Caenorhabditis elegans: one gene and its partner. The protein of the gene in region 1 purifies or fractionates together with the protein of each later gene. This does not show direct contact. Each region holds a gene or a part of one and is shown on either strand. Other genes may lie near its edges.

What was found.
Region 2: the proteins of dnj-11 (region 1) and tcc-1 fractionate together in Caenorhabditis elegans (co-fractionation; one large-scale study listed by BioGRID). This does not show direct contact.

What each region holds. Positions count from the first base shown.
Region 1 is NC_003282.8:6,581,132-6,591,533, reverse strand, and holds dnj-11 (DnaJ homolog subfamily C member 2), read right to left. Parts: upstream 5,664-10,402; coding exon 5,580-5,663; intron 5,528-5,579; coding exon 5,251-5,527; intron 5,206-5,250; coding exon 4,670-5,205; intron 4,616-4,669; coding exon 4,478-4,615; intron 4,422-4,477; coding exon 4,059-4,421; intron 4,009-4,058; coding exon 3,637-4,008; 3' UTR 3,348-3,636; downstream 1-3,347. Other genes in the region: nspb-1 (Nematode Specific Peptide family, group B), read left to right, coding at 441-635, 685-738; lec-11 (Galectin), read left to right, coding at 1,398-1,421, 1,471-1,559, 2,046-2,244, 2,845-2,980, 3,049-3,299; F38A5.2 (TraB domain-containing protein), read left to right, coding at 6,134-6,229, 6,281-6,326, 6,398-6,625, 6,681-6,979, 7,035-7,160, 7,205-7,342, 7,388-7,702, 7,751-7,860 and 1 more; odr-8 (Ufm1-specific protease), read left to right, coding at 8,874-8,987, 9,144-9,318, 9,363-9,544, 9,596-9,790, 9,836-9,932, 9,979-10,136, 10,184-10,283, 10,331-10,402.
Region 2 is NC_003283.11:17,850,122-17,860,974, reverse strand, and holds the start of tcc-1 (Ribosome-binding protein 1), read left to right. Parts: upstream 1-4,985; 5' UTR 4,986-4,988; coding exon 4,989-5,108; intron 5,109-5,959; coding exon 5,960-6,516; intron 6,517-7,372; coding exon 7,373-7,972; intron 7,973-8,850; coding exon 8,851-9,172; intron 9,173-10,853.

The DNA of each region.
Region 1 (10,402 bases):
GCACAAAGTGCGAGGTTTGCTCAACCGAACTACAAAAAGTTCAACAGAAACAGTTCAGATAATATTCAATGACTTTAAAATACAATCAGAAAAAAATCACAAAAAGGGATATTTTGCTGGAACCTCGAACCCGTAGACGCACTTGCATCTAAACAGTTTTGATGAAAATACATGGTAGTTAGTAGCAGAGTTAGGTAATAAAACCTTTGCACGGATGAACATGGTAAAACAATAGAAAAAAATGAGTCAATGATTTAAATGATTTCTTTAATAAATCAAAAAATCTAAATACAGAAATAGTTTTATTGCAACTTTAATCCAAAAAGTGTCAAGAGTAAGTTTGTTAAACAAAGAGTCTATGCAAACATGCATCAATCGTATATAAACGGTAACTTTTCAATTTCCAAATCACTTCCGAGTCTCACCTGAAAAATCTAAAAATGTTCCAAAAATCCACAATTGTCATGATTTTTGCCCTTTTCTGTATTTCATCGTGTCAAGTTTTATATACTCCTGAAGTTGTATCATCTCCATATTATTATGCTTCATCTCCAGTTGCTTCTGCTTATCCATATGCTTATGCTTATGGAGCTGCTGCTTATCCAACTGCATATTATGGATGGGGATCTAATAAGGTAATAAGATATCAGTTAGCATTCAATATCTAAATATCTATAAATTCAGGGACAACAAGCTCCATCTTCTGCTCCAACACAGAAATTGACAAATAATCAGTAAAGAGATATTTCATTTTGGAATATGTGTACTATATGAACCACCGAATAAACTGTTTCCATTTTAGTTGTGTTAATGTTATTTATTTTTAATGTGTCTTTACCGTATGGTTTGATTATCAAGAAGGTTTTTCTATAGAGTTCAAAAAGCAGCATGCAAAAAATGAATCTGGAGTTTGAAACACATTTCATTTGGATCATGTCCGAGGATTTTTGAGGTTTAGGTGAATTTCATAGCTGTTCTCAAAGATTGAACTCACATTCGTTTTTTTTTAATGCTAATTATGTATAACAGAGTAAATCTTTAAGAAATGAAGTAATTCAGGAATATTTAATAACGGTAATTTTAATACGGTTTCATAGTTAATATAATTGTGTTCCAATTCCCCATCTCCAATAATTCGTCTAAACCAAACAGTTAGTTAGAGAGTTCAAGGTGTGCCTGAAATGACAGTCCATACCTTTTTAAGCAAACATCATTCGAAGTATTTTATCGTATGTGTGATTCACATAAAACTCGTCGTCATTCTTTTTTCTCTTATCATTCCATTTCAACTTCCACATTTCTTTCGAAACTGCACCGATAAAGAATTGGCATAAAAGTCTACCATCTTTCCGTTTTCGTTTCGAGTTTCTAATTCGCAGCTTTTCATCAAATAAATAATGGTTCACGTCATTGAAAATCCAGTGAGTCATTAGTTTATGAGCTTATTTGTTCTAAAGTAACTATTTTCAGCCAATTCCATTGACTACACCAATCTATGAGGGAATGAGAGAACATTCATCTGTGGAAATTCATGGAGAAGTATTTCAAGGTCCACAGGGGTTAGTCAAATTCAAAAATTAATTATTTTAGAATCAGGGTAATTTGTTTTAATTACCATATTCCAAATTTTTCGAGTTTCACGGGTGTGCACCTTTAAAGAGTACGGTAATTTTCAATGATTTCTGAACCCATTTTCGAATAAAAACGTATTTTTCCTTTTGAAAAACTTTAATACTAAAACAGTTTGAGATCACGGGAGAGGGGTTATTAAGGAACCACCATTTCATGAGAATGCCTACTTTCTGGCGCGAAAATAGCGACAGCAGAGAGAGTGAAGAGAGTGCCTTCGCTACGAGATATTCCCGCACCAAAACGGTAGGCATTCTCATGATCTGATGGTTTCGTAATAGAAGTTACAGTAATCTTCAAAGGCACTCGTTTCCATTTAACAAAATATCGTCGTGGCGAGACCTGAAGCCGTATTTTAAGAAAAGAAATCACGACATTTTGCACTTGAGTAATAGATAACCTTTTCAATATTACAGAGGATTCACAGTCGAATTTCCCACCAAAAATGGAGTTGCTCTTCATATATCGGTTCGAATGGGTTCATATGGTCAAAATGTGATTGTATTTAATCATTTACAAAGAGGAAGATGGCATCGAGAAGAACATCATCAGAATACAATCATGTTTGGCCGACCATTTTGTATGAGAATTCATAATGAGCACAGAAAATATTCGGTTGGTTCTTCTATTGTTCTGTAATCCACAGGGTCTCATTTGAGGCAAACTCGGCCGTGTGGATTTACGAGATGGTCTCAAAAACGTTCAAAAACTCTCCCGGCTTCTCATCCATGTTCGAGTAATAACGTCGATCAGAGCCATATTCAGTAGACGTTTAAAAATGAGAATTTCGCCACATCTTACACGCAGGGGTCTCGCCACGCGAAGTGACTGTATATCGTGTCGAGCTGCTCGTAAATTGACACGAGCTACAGTAACTCGGTTTCAGCGTGGCGAGACCCATGCGCGTAAAATATGATGAAATTCGCAACTGTAGATGCCTACGTAATAAAACAAATTTAGAAGTTCTAAGTAGATTTTCTTTTTCGTAAATATTGTGAATACATATTACCTTTTTGCGTAAAAAAACAATTTTCAACCCAAAATCAAGATATCGGGTCCTGAAACTTCTCAGCTACCGTACCCACGAGTGTGAAAGACTTTATGTTAAAACCTAATTTCTCTAATTATTTGAGTTTAGAATATCAGATTATTGAACACAGATAGTTTTTTTTTATTCAAACAATATTCTCGTAAAAACAATCAATTTAATTCCAGATCCACGTGGACGGACATCACATCGGACATTATCATCATCATAAATGCCCAAAACGAATCGTTGCAATGACTGTTCGAGGAGATCTTCGAGTTGGAAAAATTCATTTCGAAAACTTCAAACATCATAACGGAGGAGGTTGGTTTTTATCTTAATATTCTGGGGATTTTTTTTTGTTTTTTGATTTCCAATCTTAATAATTCTAGGTACTGAAATCGGTGTAATGCAAATGCCTGTTGCTCCAACTCCGATCGTTGTTGCTCAACCACCGCCTCCAATGATTGTTCCCCAACCACAGATTGTTCCGGTTGTTCAGCAAATTATGCAACCAATGGTTCAACCCATATATCCAAGTGTTCAACCAATCGTGTATCCAACTGCTACTCCAATCATCTATACTCAACCTGAAGTTATCTACATGGACGGTTATCATCACCACCGTCACCATCACTATTGAAATTTGTACTTATTGTGAAAATGAATGAATAAATGAACATGACAAATTGATAGGGACGCACCGTTCATCTAATGTTCATAACTGAGACATGAATATTGAGCACTGCAGAAAAAGTTTGATGACAGAAACAAAAAAAAAAGTACATAGTACTACTGAATTTGAGTTGGTCAAGAGTCAAGAATGATTAAGGCTTTCAAGAATAAATGAATAAATGAAGAAAAAACAATATAACGAGCTAAAATGTGATGGGAACGGAAACAAGAGTTATGGAGGAGAAACAAGAAATAATATGAAGGGATGAGGAAGATTTAGAGAAGATATTACTTGGACTAGAAGATCATTTCTTATTTTTAACCATTTGAACGAGATACTTGAAACGACGAATGCAGGCTTTTTTGGACTTTGTGCCAACTTCTGTTGAGATCTTTTCCCACCGCTCGGGATCACTTGACTTATGCTTCTTGATAGCGTCCTCTAAAGTTTTCTGTTCGGTTGCTGACCAGACATCCTCATCTGGTAGCGCAGTTCCTAGCTGATTTTGAGTAGTTGATGGTAGCTTGACGTTCATCGTTTGAACAGCTTTGCATTGCTTGATAACCTGTTTTTCAGTTTTTGGTGGTAAACCCGTAGAATCCTTGCGATGCTCGTTAATGTAATCGGCAATTTGAACCCATCTCTCCACGGTTCCAGGTGGGAATGTGTTTGAAGCCTTTAAAAATATGAAAATTAATTAATGATTTCCAATCGTTTATGTCTTACCTTAACCAATAATTGAATCTCTTCACTAGTCCATGTCTCCTTGTCGGCTTGCTTTTCATTTTCTTTGTTCTTATCCTCAGTGATTGTGACCTTTGCTCCAGCAGCTTCTTTCTTCAGAATTTCAGCATCTGTTAGCGCAGTTTGAATTTCAGAAGCAATTGAAAGTGATTCGACCTTCTCGCACAGCTCTCTGAGTTGATCAACAGTGAACCCAATGCAAATCCGCTCAATTCTTTCCATTTCAGTGAGCTTATCGCGAGGATTCTCCGTCCAGTGGCCAGCTTCATCAGCGAGTTTCTTCAGACGCTTACGCTGCTGAGACATAGCTTTCTTGGCAATATCACGCTCTTTCTTTTCTCTCTCCTGAAAATAATAGTTAGTATTTAAAAATCGACAATATTCTGGTGTATTGTGCTCACTCTTTCTTCCTTTGCTTTTCTGTCAGCTTCCTCTTTCTGCTTAGCTTCGGCTTCTTCCTTTTCACGCTTCTCACGGTCGATAGCTTCTTGCTTTTCACGGATGGCTCTTTGCTTATCTTCCTTTGCTTTATCTTTTTTCTAAAATTTAAAATTGAAAATCCGGCAAAGTTTAGGCAAAGTTTATAGACTTACCGCTTGCTGTTCCTTCTTGAACTTGATAATTCTAGGATCCTTAGCATAAGCTATATCAACCAACTTTCTAATTCTCTTCGCCTCTTCTTTCCGCCGTCTTTCTCTTTCTGCCTTATTCTGTTTCTCCATCTCTCGTCTTTCGTACCGATCTTCTCCTCTTTCCTTGTCTTCTTCGTCCAAATACGAGAACTCGCGCCATGACTGGAAGTTAAACCAAAAATCGTAGAAATTCTCGACATCCTCCCGGGTCGCATCTGATTTACCAAGTTCTGGCACTGGCTTGATATTGGACCATCTGGAGTTTAATTGGAAAACTGGAGCAAGTTCGTTATAAAAGTTATTATGGTTGATTGATTTCTCATTTGGAATAATATCGTTGAATTTATGATCGACCGAATCGAAAGCTTGACGTTTGACGTCAGACATTCCAACTTGTTCATAAGCTTTTGTGATACAAGTAAAGTATTCTTCCTTCTCCATAACAATTCCACGATGCTTCTTCTTGTCCGGGTGATGCTTCAAAACCTTTTGACGATCTGAAATAATTCTCTTCAAAAAATTCTCACTTCATTTTAACTTACAACAGAAACGAATTTCGTCAGATGTAGCTTGCCATCTGAGCTTCGACAATCCTAAAACTTTGTAGTGATCCTGATTTTTGCAGTCATTTGGATCCAGCTTCATCAAGTACTTTTCATATTTTTCATTATCAGCATCAAAAAGATCTTTTCTCAATTCAGCTGGCTCTTCAGACGACTTTTTTCTTTGCTGTTCCGTAACAGGCTTTGCAACAGGAGAGTTTTTATAGATTGGAAGCGTACAGTGGCCCAGTGTGAGTTTATCTCGAATAAGGCGAGTCTGAAAATGTCAGTTAAGAAATATTTGCGGACATAGGTGATAGTAAACTCACTTCATAGCATATTCCGGCTGGCTCAAAAGCTCTGCTTCGAGCTGTGAATCCATAAATTGCAACTTGTAAATTGCCCGTAGTCATCTATAATTATTAAATTATTTTGAGCCTACTTTAGTCCTAAAACGAAATAAAAGAACATAATCAGCCTAGAAATTTCTGTTTTCTTTTTAAATCGCGTGACCACAGTTGTTCATAAAAGATTTTCAGCAACGAAAGAGAAGAAAAAGGGACATAATCTGAGAAATAAAGCTGAAAAACTACTGAAAATAATTGCGGGGGATTTACGAAAGAAGAAATCGTGCCATGGTTGCAAAATGTCGAGTGCGGCGCGGTTTTAACCGAGTCACAACATAAATTATGGAGACGGAGACACAATGCAAACGCGCTTCGCTGGTCTTTTTTGTTTTTTTTTCTTGTAACTTAAAATGGAAACCTGGAGTGATTTGGATTCATTTTAATTGTTTTTCAGCTTTGTAAGCTCCGCTTTGTACGCGATTGTATGAAATAAAACATGTTATAATTTCAAGTTATATCCAAAATAAGGTTTTCAGATGTCAGAGTCATCGTCAAACTTGAATCCAGATGGAACTGAGTTTCCAGACCCTAATGACGTGCCACCACCATCGGAAGATCAATTGACTGAAGAGGTATGCTGAAATATTACATTTGTAAAAATTATTAACAATCTCCATGTTCAGGATCTATTCCGGATGCGTTCTCTGACAATCAATTCGAAAAAAGGACGTAAGTTTTTTTTCATCGCTTGAAGTTGTTTGGAAAGATAATTATTTTTAAAATATTTAATATTTTTTTAGTTTCAGTTGTTGGTGGTGCAAGTGAGACAGCCGAGCAGTCCATCATATCACTCGCAGATTCGACTTCAAATTTTGATGAGCATGTTGGAGATGATGCCGAGTTGGATTATGAGCTGGAACAAGCTCCTGAAGCAACAGAAGATGGTGCAGTGGTGAACAATCCTGTTTGTGGAGGGTACCATTTCGGAAGGAAAAGAGCAGATGACTTCGTCCCAAATGCCAATACAGGTTTCTTAAAACTCCAGTTCGATGTAACACTGATATCTATATTCTATAATTACAGTAACAGTGCTCAAATGGCCTACAAATCTGGCGATTCCTCCACGCAACCCCGTGCTGAGCGATTCTGATGAAGAATGGAAGAAAGCGATTCTCGACTCCACCATTTATCTCATCGGTACAGCTCACTTTTCAAAAGAGTCGCAGGAAGACGTATCCAACACAATTCGTGCTGTGCAACCTGATTTTGTCATGCTTGAGCTGTGTCCATCACGAATTTCAATCATATCGATGGATGAGGCTCGGCTTTTGAGCGAAGCGAAAGATCTCAACTCTCAAAAAATTATTCAGACCATGAAACAAGTGAGTTCTCATATTTTTGTTGTTGTAATGTTGTAATATTTTCAACTTTTTTAAGAACGGCGCGATTCAAGGAATTCTGCACGTTCTTCTCCTGTCAATGTCAGCGCATGTAACACGTGAACTTTCCATGGCTCCCGGAGGAGAATTCCGTGCTGCTCATCGTGCAGCAGTTGCAACTGAGGTTTGAGTATTTAAAAAGTTTTATTTACAAAGTAACTATTTCAGAATTGTCGTGTAGTTCTCGGTGATCGTCCTATTCAAGTTACACTTCAACGTGCACTGGCTTCTCTCTCCATCTGGCAAAAAATTCGCTTCTTCTTCCACGTTGCATTTTCACATCGTGAGAAGATAACTGCAGAAGAGGTATTTAATTATTCAACCTTTTCCAAAAATATTCCAAAATTATAGGTGGAACGATGCAAGCAACGTGACCTTCTGGAGCAACTTCTCGCCGAGATGGCTGATGATTTCCCACAACTATCCCAAATCTTTGTGGAAGAGCGTGATGCCTACATGACGCATGCTTTGCATATGCTCGTACACCGGAACTCAGTCGAAAAACGTGCACAATGGCTTCGTGGAACAACTGGGCAACAATTTCAACCGTTGACAGTTGTTGCTGTCGTTGGAATCGGACATACTCCAGGAATTGTTAACAAATGGAATACAAATATTGATTTTGATCCACTTATGAACATCCCACCACCAAGCCTCGGAACAAAGGTAAATTAATCTGAAGTTATTTTAATTCTTTCATTTCTTTATTTCCAGGTTTTCTCCACTGGCGTCCGTATTGTTGTCTGGGGATCTTTGGGATATTTGGCTTATCGTGGAGGACGTGCTATCTTCAATCGTGTTAGCACATTCATAGAGTCTCGTTGGTAGGTTGGAAATTTTTGTTTAAAATTTAGTTTTGGGAATGTTGAAATTAAACGATGAAATTAAACGTGAATTTTGCAAAATCAAGGTCGCACAGAGAGAGGCAGCGCGTAGTTTTGCAAGCCTGTGGCATTGTTTTCCACCGTTTTTTGGTGGTTTTTTTTCGATAAGTTCTCAATTTTACTGGTTTCACTATTTTTTCTAATGAAAATGTTACCTAATTCAATTCTCATACGATTATGAGGAAATTTCATGTTAGATTTGTTGTAAAAACGAAGTATTCTCACAATCTTATGGGAATTGAATTAGATACATAATATTTTTATTCAAAAAAAAAGAAGGAAAAACCGTACCACAGGGATGAGAAATTACGCGAATTACCAACTCCCCATTCAAAGAATGAAATAATAGCAAACCTAATCTCATTTTCGTGCTTCTCCCGTCTTCTCTCGTTATTAGCTTTTCTGGTATCACCTGCTCCGCACAAGTTACCCATGACAACCAACCCACTAACTCGTATATCTTTTCAGAACAACTCATTGATTGAAGCGGGCACAACAGCATAGCAGCCGTCTACATTCGATCTACAGGCGTTTTCATCGTTATTTTGTTCTTTCCTAAAATGTTTATGTCTAATTATTGGACTTTTAATCGCTTTTTCTTGTAATGTGATACGATTTCTAGGGTGTAGATAGGTTGAGAATTGAAACAAAATTTTTCTTCTCCCATTTTTTTCTAAACTATCCTTTTCTGTTAAATGCCCAAACAAATTGCAATTTATTTATTAGTCCCACCCGCTTCTTCCGTTTATCGATTGATTTATTCTCGTTTTCTTTGTAAAATACACAAATAATTTAAATTATTCATCTCTCTATTGCAAAATCCCCTTCTACAAGTCCCCATATTCAGCTCGCTGGTCGTATAAATGACACATTTCAATATTATTCTCTCGTGATTCGTGGTAATATCCATAAACTATTATTATCTTTTGAAAGGTGATTGGAAGAGAAGAAGAATGACGAATTCTCAAACTGTCTCACTAATTGGACCAACTCAGATGGCTCCACAATCAACACCTCCACCTCCTGTGAATGAATTGTGGTTTATTGATGCGCAGGCAATGTTTCAGGTAATTTATGTGGAAATGAGCTATGAAAGTTTTAAGAAGTGCTGAAATTATTCGATTTTCTATACTAGTTGAAAAACGGAAAAAAACGAAATAAAATCTGAAAACACTCCAAAATCAGTCTTGCGAGATAAAAGATTTCACACGAAATATTTTAAGAATTACGCCAACCTCCGCTCGTTCTCCAAATCCAATGCCAACGAAATTAATACGACAATTGGCGGATTCGTTTTCGGACGTAAAGCTCGGAAACAGGTTATCCATGTGCTATTCGCCTACGCTGAAGATCTGACTGAATCGAACAGACAATTCTTGGAGAGCTCTCTGTCTGCTGGTAATTAATGGAATAATATTATTAAAAACTGAGATTTAATTCAGATATTGAACTGGTTGGAAACTTGAATATTGATGGACAATCACAGATTCTTCCTGGCGGGCAGTTCACCCTTCAGCTGACATCTCGAATGCTTGAAAATCGAAGTATCAGCGAATTTTTGGATATGAATGTGATGTTCAACAATGAACATGTTCTTATGGAAGGAGCTAGTTGTGTCAGCAGAGTACGTTCCCATAAGATCTTTAAATTATTGAATAAAAACGGTCCGTTTCAGGTTGGATACGAGTGGTCACTTCGAGCAGGTCGTGAACAAGAAGATGTCAAATCTGCTGCCGAACGTCTTTCAATGGCTTCTTTTCGTTTCACATATCTAAACGCTGAACACGGGTTGGTGATCCGTGAGCAGAAGCCAGAAGCTGCTCAACAGAAGTATCTTGATAAATTCTCGAAAGGCGCTGTACCATATAAGGTTTGGAAATACTGTCTAAAATTAATATGATTGACGGAATTTCAGGATGTTATCGAATTCACTGCCATGCAATCTCTCACTAGGGATACATCTAATGATACGGAAGATCAAAAGCTGGTTCCAACAGTTAAGGTTACCAAGGGTAAAGAATTTTGTTATTTTATAAAGATATTAAATTCGTAATTTAGATAACAAACATTTCACTCGGCTCGTCACAATTGGTGAGGTAGTTTTCCCAGCGTTCTTTGGAGATTCTTCACTGGATTTGTACAAACGATCACGTGAGGCATTCAATAGAAGAGCTAACAATACAATGATGGTTACAGTCAATGGAATAAGAGCTGGGGTAAAAATTGAAATGTAATATTTTTTATATCGATTGATATCTTGCAGCGCGGAGTAACAACGACCACATCTGCAACTTATCTTCCACCTGGATGGGTTTCTCTACTTCATCTCCAACTTCCAACTAAATGGACGGACAATGAACAAAGTATTCATAGAAAGCGTTTCAACTTCTATAAAAATTCAATTTTCTAGGAAATTACCGTATTCGTCTTCACAAGTTGTTCAACTTGCCATCATCTAAGCCAGTTCTTCGATTGTCTCAAG
Region 2 (10,853 bases), on another chromosome or scaffold:
AAAATTTCCAATTTTTAGGCCAAAAATCGCTTAAAATTTCCAATTTTTAGGCCAAAAATCGCTTAAAATTTCCAATTTTTAGGCCAAAAATCGCTTAAAATTTCCAATTTTTAAGCTTAAAAATCGCTTAAAATTTCCAATTTTTAGGCCAAAAATCGCTTAAATTTTCCAATTTTTAAGCTTAAAAATCGCTTAAAATTTCCAATTTTTAGGCCAAAAATCGCTTAAATTTTCCAATTTTTAGGCCAAAAATCGCCCAAAAATCGCTTAAAATTTCCAATTTTTAAGCTTAAAAATCGCTTAAAATTTCCAATTTTTAGGCAAAAATCGCTTAAAATTTCCAATTTTTAAGCTTAAAAATCGCTTAAAATTTCCAATTTTTAGGCCAAAAATCGCTTAAAATTTCCAATTTTTAGGCCAAAAATCGCTTAAATTTTCCAATTTTTAAGCTTGAAAATCGCTTAAAATTTCCAATTTTTAGGCCAAAAATCGCTTAAATTTTCCAATTTTTAGGCCAAAAATCGCCCAAAAATCGCTTAAAATTTCCAATTTTTAAGCTTAAAAATCGCTTAAAATTTCCAATTTTTAGGCAAAAATCGCTTAAAATTTCCAATTTTTAAGCTTAAAAATCGCTTAAAATTTCCAATTTTTAGGCCAAAAATCGCTTAAAATTTCCAATTTTTAGGCCAAAAATCGCTTAAATTTTCCAATTTTTAAGCTTGAAAATCGCTTAAAATTTCCAATTTTTAGGCCAAAAATCGCTTAAATTTTCCAATTTTTAGGCCAAAAATCGCCCAAAAATCGCTTAAAATTTCCAATTTTTAAGCTTAAAAATCGCTTAAAATTTCCAATTTTTAGGCAAAAATCGCTTAAAATTTCCAATTTTTAGGCCAAAAATCGCTTAAATTTTCCAATTTTTAAGCTTGAAAATCGCTTAAAATTTCCAATTTTTAGGCCAAAAATCGCTTAAATTTTCCAATTTTTAGGCCAAAAATCGCCCAAAAATCGCTTAAAATTTCCAATTTTTAAGCTTAAAAATCGCTTAAAATTTCCAATTTTTAGGCAAAAATCGCTTAAAATTTCCAATTTTTAAGCTTATAATCGCTTAAAATTTCCAATTTTTAGGCAAAAATCGCTTAAAGCTGTAAATCCAATTTTTAAGCGAAAATTCACCGAAATTCCGCCAGATACGGTAATCGTGGTGAGACCTCGATGCCGGAAAACCTTTATGCGCCTTTCATTTTTGTAATCTATTCTTCAATTTTTTGAGCGAATTTTCGCGGTTTCTTTTTTAAATTTCCGCCAAATTAACCATTTTTCACGTTTTTCCAGCTAAAACTTGAAATTTTCAGCGAAATCTCTCTTTTTTGGCCTGAAAATTCGCAAATTGTTTCCAAAAAACGGTAATCGTGGTGAGACCCAGCTGTTCTCGAAATTCAATGCGCCTTTAAATTTTGTAATCATTTCTTCATTTTTGGAGTGAATTTTGACGTTTTTCACTGCTAAAAGCGAGTTTTTAATCGGTTTTTTTTTCGATATTTTTGGGTTAAAATTCGCATATTTAATCCTAAAAATCAAGTTTTTGCCTAAAGTTGGCGGGAAATCCAAAAAAGAATTTTCACCATTTTCTTATTCAAAACATTTTTCGCGCCTTTTTCCCATCAAAAACATGTCAAATTCCCGTGAAAATGATGAAATCTGACGAAATTCCTCGTTTTCCGCGCGAAAAATCGCATTTTCCCACGAAATTCTGTTATTGACCTACACACAGCCGGGTGAGCGCGAATTTCGCCTAATTCGTTCGGTTTTCTCATCATTTCAAGGTCATTTTCGCACTCAATTCGCTCGTTTTTCACTTTTTTCGTCGTTTTTCCTTCTATTTGGAACAGTTTTTGGCAAAAATACGCCGGAATTGCAGGAAATTCCCGGTTTTTTCAGCTTTCCATTGGATTTTTTGCCGGATTTTCAGATAATTCAAGCTGTATTTTCAGCGATTTTTTCGAAATTGCCACCTTTTTTCCAGATTTTAAGGTTTTTTCTGAGGTTTTTGCAATTTTCTCGCAATTTCTTGGATTTCTGTCGATGTGCCAGCGTTTTCCTTCGAATTTGCACGATTTTGTCGATTTTTAGAGATTTTTCTCCAATTTTCAGCGTTTTTCATTGGTTTTTGAGAAAATCCTGCTATTTTTAATGATTTTTCAGTTGTTTCAGCAGATTTTAGGATTTTCCAGCGACTTTAACTGAATTTTCGCTCGATTATTGGCATTTTGAAGCTTTTCCTTCCGATTTGGCACTTTTTTCGGCGATTTCTCGAAAATTCGCCCATTTTCGCAAAAGTTCAAGGTTTTCCGGGCATTTTCTCAAGTTTCTCCGATTTATCTGTGAAATCTGCTCTGAAAACCAGAAATGAGCACAAAAACTCGATTTTCATATTTTCGAAGTAGTTTCTTCCGATTTGGCACATTTTTCCGGGGATTTTCTCAAAAATTCCCACATTTTCCAATGTTTTTTCGAAGTTTTGAAATTTCCCGCTTTGAAAATCCAGAAATAAGCCCAAAAGGAGCTCCACGGAGCCCGGTTTCATCAGAAAATTCGAAAATCAGCTGAAAAAAGGTCAGAATTTCAGTAAAACGCTCTATGGAGCCCGAGTATTTGCTCATTAAACGCTTCTGAATAAACAAATAAACATGAAGACGTAAAGCCAGACGGAGCTCCAACACGCACGGAGCAACTAATTTCGTTTGCAGTTCTTCTTCTTCTTCTTCACAAAAGACGCAGACACTTGCACACTGAAGACACAAGAGACACCAGACACTCTGTCCGTTCTCTGAGTCTCTGTGGCTTCCCGTGATCTCTCGTTGGCGCCCAGCGCCTGTCATTGGCGCTGCCCACGAATAGATAGTGTACGTGGAGTGGAGAGTCACCAGACAGAGCAATAGGGAATGTCCAGAAGCATCGGGAGGGATGAGAGGACGTGGCTGCAGTGCCCCCTGTTTCTCTGTGTCTCTGCGGTATTTCCCGTACTTTTTTTGGGGGGTTTCTTCTCCTTTGCAGCAGATCCCGAAATTCCTCGAATTTCGCATTTCCGCCGCCGCCCACTTTTTTCCAGCTTTTCCAGCAGCGATCTGGAATTTTTGAAGCTTTGACGTCCGTATTTTGAGATTTTGTTCCAAGAAATTTAGTTTTTTGAACTGAAAATCGAGGAAATCGACCGGTTTTGGGCCAGGTTTCTCTGAAAATTGGTGCCTAACCAGGGTTTCTAACTGACTTTAATGTTGCCCAGTTTTGGGATTTTTTTGGTCGGTAAAACCAAATTTTTTTTCCTAGAAAATTAATCTTATGGAAAAAAAAAACTGGATTTTACCTGAAATTTTCGAATTTACTGACTGTTTTAGTCTATTTTTTCGAGTGTTTCAAAGCAAAATTCCCACTGACACCGCCGGTAGGCAGGCAAGGCTTCAGAGAATGATGCCTGCCTGAAATCTGCCTGCCTTTCGCCTCTTTGCTGCATTTTGACATGAGTTTTCAAATTTTCTCATTTCTATCAATTTGTTAAAAAATCAAATTACACGTAACACGTATTGAGGCGAGAGTCAGGCGGAGTCGGTCGCCTCAAAGACAGGCAGGTAGGCCTACGTTCAAGGCCTACACACCAGGGGTGCCAGGCTGCCCATTTCGGTTTGATCTACACAAAAATGCGGGAGAGTTTGAGACGCGAGTTTTCAACCGATTTTGCATGGTTAAGAACGTGCTGACGTCACATTTTTTGTTGGGCAAAAAATTCCCGCATTTTTTGTAGATCAAACCGTAATGGGACAACCTGGGGACCACGTGGGCCTACAGAAGTGTGTTCCTAAACGACAAAAAGCCTACAATTTCTCTTCCTATTAGGTTTCTCAAGTATCAAAGTTTTTCATTGATTAACACAGGGATACACCCCCTCTCTTGATGATTTTCTATTTGACCTCGATATTTCGGAATTTCGGGTGTACTTTGTCGTTCCCCGCGCGCGGGCTGCGAAAACTTTTTTTTTAATATAAAAGTTGTCTCCACCGCGGCCCGCGCAATTGTCTTTACCCCAACGGAAATGCAATTATTATTGTCATTTTTATCACCACCATTTCAACTTTGCCGATCTCTGTGTGAAATTCTCAGTTGCCGTCCCCGAAAGTAAAGAAAAGTGCTCGAAATGCCACTTTTTTTTTTTTGGAAGAATTTTCAACTTTGAAATGGATTTTCCCGAAAAACTGGCATCTCAGCGAAGAAATTTCTCGGTTGTAGTGGAATTTTCTACTCAAAAACTCGATTTTTTTTTATTAAAAAATTCAAATTTCGAGGTATTTTAGTGGAATTTTCTATTGAAAACTCAATTTTTCACATTAAATCCCATATTTTTTCTTGGAAATTATCGATATTCAGCTTTAAAAATATGTGAAAAGTTGAAAAATGACTCCTTTGTCGATTTACGCAGCTCTTGTGTACTTCTCGAGGAGAAGAGAAGATTTGTACAGTTATAGTAAAAATGCGGCATTTTTGGATATTTTTACTAAAATTGTAACTCTTCTCCACGAGGAGTACACAAGAGCCGCGTAAATCGACACAGGAGTCATTTTTCAACTTTTCAGATATTTTAAAGCTGAAATATCGATAATTTTCAGAGAAGAAACATAGAAAATTCCACTAAAAACGAGAAATCCATTGAAAATAGCTCGAAATTCGGAATTTTTAATCGAAAAAAACGAGTTTTTGAGTAAAAAATCTCTATGAAAATGTGGGAAATTTGATATTTTCGAAATAAAATCGATTTTTCAGGGTTTTACACTGAAAAAGTGCCATTTTTTTCGAAAATTTCGAATTTTACACGTTTTCATAGAGATTTTTTACTCAAAAACTCGATTTTTTCGATTAAAAATTCCGAATTTCGATAATTTCTCCATTTTCCCACTTTTTTCTATAAAATTTCTAAAAATGCTAAATAATTTCAGCCAATGGACTCGTCATTCGTCGATCCATCAACAGCTCTCGGCATTCTCGGTGGTGTTGGTGTATTTGTGTTTGCAATTTATTATATGATATTCATGAATCGACAAGAGGATAATTTTGACAAGGTTCGGAACGATTTTCGTGGAAAAATTGAGATTTTTCACACGAATTCTGATCAGAAGAGTGAAATTTCAAGAGATTATCGACTTTTTTCGCTTAACAACCGGATTTTCCTTGACCTAAAATTGGCCTAAAACTTTTTTTTCCCCGCGAAAAAACCAGGAAAACTAAATTTTTACGAGAAAAGTGGATATTTTTCAGAGAATTCTGACTGAAAAGGCAATTTTCCTCGGATTTTCTCATCAAATTGACTGAAAATCTGCGAAAAATACCTTTTTGTGCCTGAAAATTGTTGAAAAAAATTAATTTTTATCAGAAAAACGGCATTTTCAGCAAACTTTTATTCTAAAAAAGACGATTTTTAACGAGGAATTCGATATTTTTTCCGAGAATTTTGACTTGAAATGAGCAAAATTGCTCTTTTTCACTTAAAAAAAACAATTTTCCTATCAAAAATTGGATTTTTATCGAAGTTTTCCCAAAAAAAGAAGGTTTTCGGTTCAAAATTGGCTTCTTTCGGTTTTTTAAGGCAAAAATGAACAAATTCAGGCCAAAAATGCCAATTTTCAGGTGTAAATTTAAAATTTCAACACAAAAATCGTCTTTTTGTTTTTTTCGATGAAATCTTCGCTGAAATTCGGTTTTCCTGATAAAAATTGGTTTAAAAAATGGGAATTTAGGCACAAAAATGTCGTTTTTTGGGGGAAATTCTGAATAAAATACGATTATATTTTCAAAAAAAAAAAACAAATATTCCAAGGAATTTCTCCAAAAAGAAGGATTTTTGTGTGCTGAAAATTGGCATTTTCAGTCAAAAAAAAAACTGTAAAAATCTATAAATTTTTCAAATTTTCAGGCTTACAACCGCGACGCATTGGCTCTTTTGACTGACAACAACGAGAAGAAGAAACAGCCAAAAAATAAGACAAAGAAGCAACAGCAAACGGGCAAAAAAGCACAAGATGCCGCTCCAGCTCCGGCTTCAGCTGCTCCAGCTGCTCCAAATGCTCCAACTCCAACGGCTCAGCAACAACCATCACCAAAAGCTTCTGCTGCTCCAATTCCAGAAAAACCGGAAATTCAAGTCCAAAAAGTGGAATCTACTCAGGCTTCTGCTCCAATTCCAGCTCCAGCAGCTCCAACAACTCAAAAATCGTCTCCAAAAGAGCGAAAATCGGTGAATTTGAAGGATTTGGATCAGAAAAAGGTGCTCAACAAGCTCTCCGGACTCCCAGAACTCGATGAAGCTTATATTCAATTCTTGGCTGGAGCATTCCGTGATTCTGATGCTCAGAAGAATAATTTGAGTCTGGAAGTTAAGGCTTTGAACAAGAAGATGACGGAATCTGCTGTGAAAATTGAGAAATTGAATAAAGAAAAGATGGCTGTGGAACAACGCGAGAAACACGAGCAGTATGTCGATTTTTTACGCGGAAAATTGAGAAAAATCGTGAAAATTGATGAAAATTGGTCTAAAAATGATAATTTTGTGCGAAAATTCAAGAATTTCGATGGAAAACGTGGAAAAATCACGAAATTTCATGAAAATTGGGCCAAGAATGATATTTTTTCGTCCGAAATTTAAAAATTCTGAACTAAAATTGCTGACCACGCATTTCTGACAAAAAAAGAGGCAATTTTCTCCAAAATTTGATGAAAAATCGTTTTCTCAGTCGAAATGCACCATAATTTAGTCAATTTTGACGGAAATTAGGCAAAATCGATTGAAAATTTCCAATTTCCCGCCGAAATTTGACTTTTCGACGATTTTTCGTTAGCAAACAGCTGAAAAACGACATTTTGGCCGTGAAAATTGTAGAATTTTGTTTTAAAAATTACTATTTTCAGCCTAAATTGTTGTACAACGGTAAAAACCCTAATTTATTCAAAAATTTAACTTTTCTGTCTTGAAAATCGGGCTGAGAACCGACAGTTTTACGCAAAAAAATGCTCCAAATTTGTGAAAAATCCCTAAAAACTTCTTAAAATTGAGCTCAAAGAGTCCGAGCAGGCATTCCTTTCAAAAAACGGTGAATTTTAAGAAATTCGCCAAAAATTACAAATTCCAGCAAAAAATTCAACTTTTGGTCTTAAAAATCGGCTAAAAAAACGCTGAAATTGCTGGAAAAATTTTCAATTTTCCGCTTAAAATCTCTCTAAAAACCTGCAATTTTTCAGTGCTCAACGCCAAAAAAAGCTCTAAAAATGTGAAAAAACCCAAAAAATTGCACTTTTGAGCCTAAAATCCGAATTTTCTCCTGTTTTTCAGAGCTCAACGCCAACAACTCTTGCAAAAAGTGGCTCAAAATCAGGCTCACGAATCAGAATTGGCTCGTCAAATTCAGGGAATTGAAGGAAAACTTCGTGTGAAAGAGCAAGAACTTGTTGCCGCAGGAAAAGCTGTCAAAAATAATGAAGAGCATGAGAAAGAGCTGAAGCTGTTGAGAAGCACGAATTCGAGTTTTTCAACAGAGCTGAAGACGATTCGAAAGGAACATGAAGCTCAGTTACAGAAGAAACAAGAAGAATGGAAGAAGCTACATGAGCAGTTGGAGCAAGAAAAGGAGAAGCTTATTTCGGAAAAAGAGCACGCAAAACAGACACATTTGAAGCTGGCGGCAGCTGTTGAAAATGTTGAAGCTGAACTTGAAAAGCAAGGAAAAGAATGGATTCAATTGAGCACACACAATCAAACATTGAAACAACACAATTTAGAGTTGGAAGCTGCTCTTTCAGTGGCAAAAGCTCGAGATCAAGACGGAGAAGCTCAGAAATGGACGATGGAAAAAGCTCAGATGATTGAGAATTATACGCGATTGGAGGCACTTATCGGGGAGCTCAATCGAGATATTTCAGAGTTTCACGAATAGTGAGTAGATGAACAATTTTCGAGGAAAATCTGAAAATTTTCAGAAAAACGGAAATTTATGTTAAAATCGAGAAAACAGGCAATTTTTGCGCTGAAAAACCGAAAATTTCGAGTTTTTCCACCCTATTTTTGGTCTAGAATCGGTCAAAAATGAGCAGCAAAGTCATGAAAAAACTGAATAATTTGAAAAAAAAATGCACGTTTTGACCAATATTTCACTGATTTTTACCTAAAAACTGCTGAAAAGGAGACAATTTTGGAGAAAATGTGAGAAAAAGCTCGAAATTCTACTCGATTATAGGAAACAGGCAATTTTAGTGCTGAAAATTTGAAAATTTTGTAATTTCTAACGGAAAGTGCTGATTTTCCCTTAAAAATCTATAAAATTGTGCTTTTTTGCAAAAAAATTCGTTTTTTCACTCAAAAATGGGCAATTTCAGTCGGAAATTGATTAATTTTGCTTTAAAAAAACTCGAGAAAAACTCAAATTTCCATTGAAAGCCAAAACTCGAAGAAAATCGACAAAAATGGCCGGATTTTTCTCAAATTTCGCCAAAAAAAAAGGCCAAATTTCTGTGGAAAATTGGCGATTTTCCACTATAAAATTGAAAAAATCGCAGAATTTCACCTGAAAAACTTTTTTTTTAACCAAAAATCCACGAAAAACCCGATTTTTTCCGTAAATTCTGGGAAAATCAACGGATTTCAATTGAAATGCATTTTTTTTTTCGATCAAAAACGATTTTTTTTTGAGCTGGAAAGGTGAAATATTGAGAAATTATCATTTTTTACCCGGAAAAAGGCAAAAAAGGCAAATTTTAAATTAAAAAAAAACTAAAAATCCAAGGAAAAACGCTCAAATTCTCGTAATTTTGCAGCAAAAAGCAACAAGAAGTGATTGTGAATGAGCTCAATCATCGTGAAAAAGCTCATTTGGATACAATTGAGCAACTCCGTGAGCAAATTTCCATCGAAAAGAGCAAATTGGCAGAGCTTCAAGTGGTTTTGGACGCGGAAAAGTCGAAAATTGTCGAAATTCCGTTGAATCAGCCACTGGTGGTTGAGGAGGTTATTGAGCTTAAAAAGACGAATGCTAATTTGGCAGCTGCTGCTCCGAGTACTTCTTCTGGAGCTTCAAAAGAAGACGAGGAAACTGAGAAGCTTAAAGCTGAAAATGCCCAGTTGCACGAGAAAAATGAGGTAGAAATATTGGATTTCTCGCCTTTTTTTTAGTGTGGAACATTGATTTTTTCGTGGAAATCTACCTAAAATTGTAGTTTTCAGCTGAAAATTTGGATTTTTCGTGAAAATTGGCTTGAAATTGCAATTTTCAACGTGAATTTCGGATGTTCAGCTGAAATTCCCAATAAAATTCGGAAATTATCAGAATTTCCTTTAAAATTGGCTCAAAACATTAGTTTTCAGTGAAGAAATAACATTTTTAGCTAAAAATCACTAAAAATTCGAATTTTTCTGAATTTTTCAGAAAAAATCCACTTAAAAATGTAGTTTACACTGGAAATTTTAATTTTTCACAATTTTTCGTAAAAAATTACTTAAAATCTTAATTTGTTGTGGAAATTTCCCCATTTTTTTTTTCGTATTTTCCACTTTTGAAAATTGGCTCGAAATTGAGATTTTCCACTGAAAATTCGGATTTTTTCCAGAATTTTTCGTAAAAATCCACTTAAAGTTTACACTGGAAATTTGAGTTTTTTTTTAGTCAAAATCGTTGAAAATCAATTTTTGGCTCTCAAAATTAGTTTTCAGTGAAAAATTAACATTTTTAGCTGAAAATCACTAAAAATTGAGATTTTCCAGGTTTTTCCCGGAAAATCTACTTAAAATTATTATTATAGTTTTCAGTGAGAAAATCACTTTTCATCTGAAATTTTGGATTTTTTGCGTGAAAATTGGCTTAAAATTGCATTTTTTTTTCTGTGAATTTCTGATTTTCAGCTGAAAAATTGCATTTTTTTTACCTGAAAATCAGAAATTTTCGTGGAAAAATGTAACTTTTTTGGCTGAAAATCACAGTTTTTCGGAAATTTTTAGATTTTTTGGGGAATTACGATAAAACATAACTTTTTTTTTTTGTTTATGATTGGAATTTTCGCATTTTCGGCTGAAAACCTCATAAAAATCACTCAAAATGTGACTTTTCACGATAAAAATTGAATTTTTTGATTCCGATGTATTGATTTTTCGAAAACTGACTGAAACCATGTTATTTATCCGGATTTGACGCATTTTTAGATGCCAAAACCGAGATTTTTCGGAATTTTTGCTCCTCAAAATGTGTGAGAAACTATCGAAAATTGGGGTTTCTACTCAAAAATTTCAGAAATTTCAGACTATTTTTCGTTTTTCAAAGTGAAAAATCGTTTTTTTTTCGTGAAAATTCACTTAAATTTGGATTTTGCGTGAAAATTAGCTTTCAAAACTCAGTTTTCAGTGAAAAAATAACATTTTTAGCTTAAAATCACTAAAAATTCGAATTTTTCAGAATTTTTTGCAAAAATCCACTTAAAAATGTAGTTTACACTGGAAATTTGAATTTTTTTTTCTTAAAAATCTTTGAATATCAATTTTTGGCTCTCAAAACTAGAATTTTTCTGCAAATTTTAATCTTTATAGGTGAAATTTTCGCATTTTCGATTGAAAACCATTAAAAATTAGTCAAAGATTGGCTTTTCTCGCTAGAAATCCGATTTTTTTTTTGCTTCCAAAGACTATTTTTGTCGAAAATTGCTCATAAACTCGTCTGAAATTAACATTTTTAGCTTAAAATCACTAAAAATTCGAATTTTTCAGAATTTTTTGCAAAAATCCACTTAAAAATGTAGTTTACACTGGAAATTTTTAATTTTTCCATTGAAAA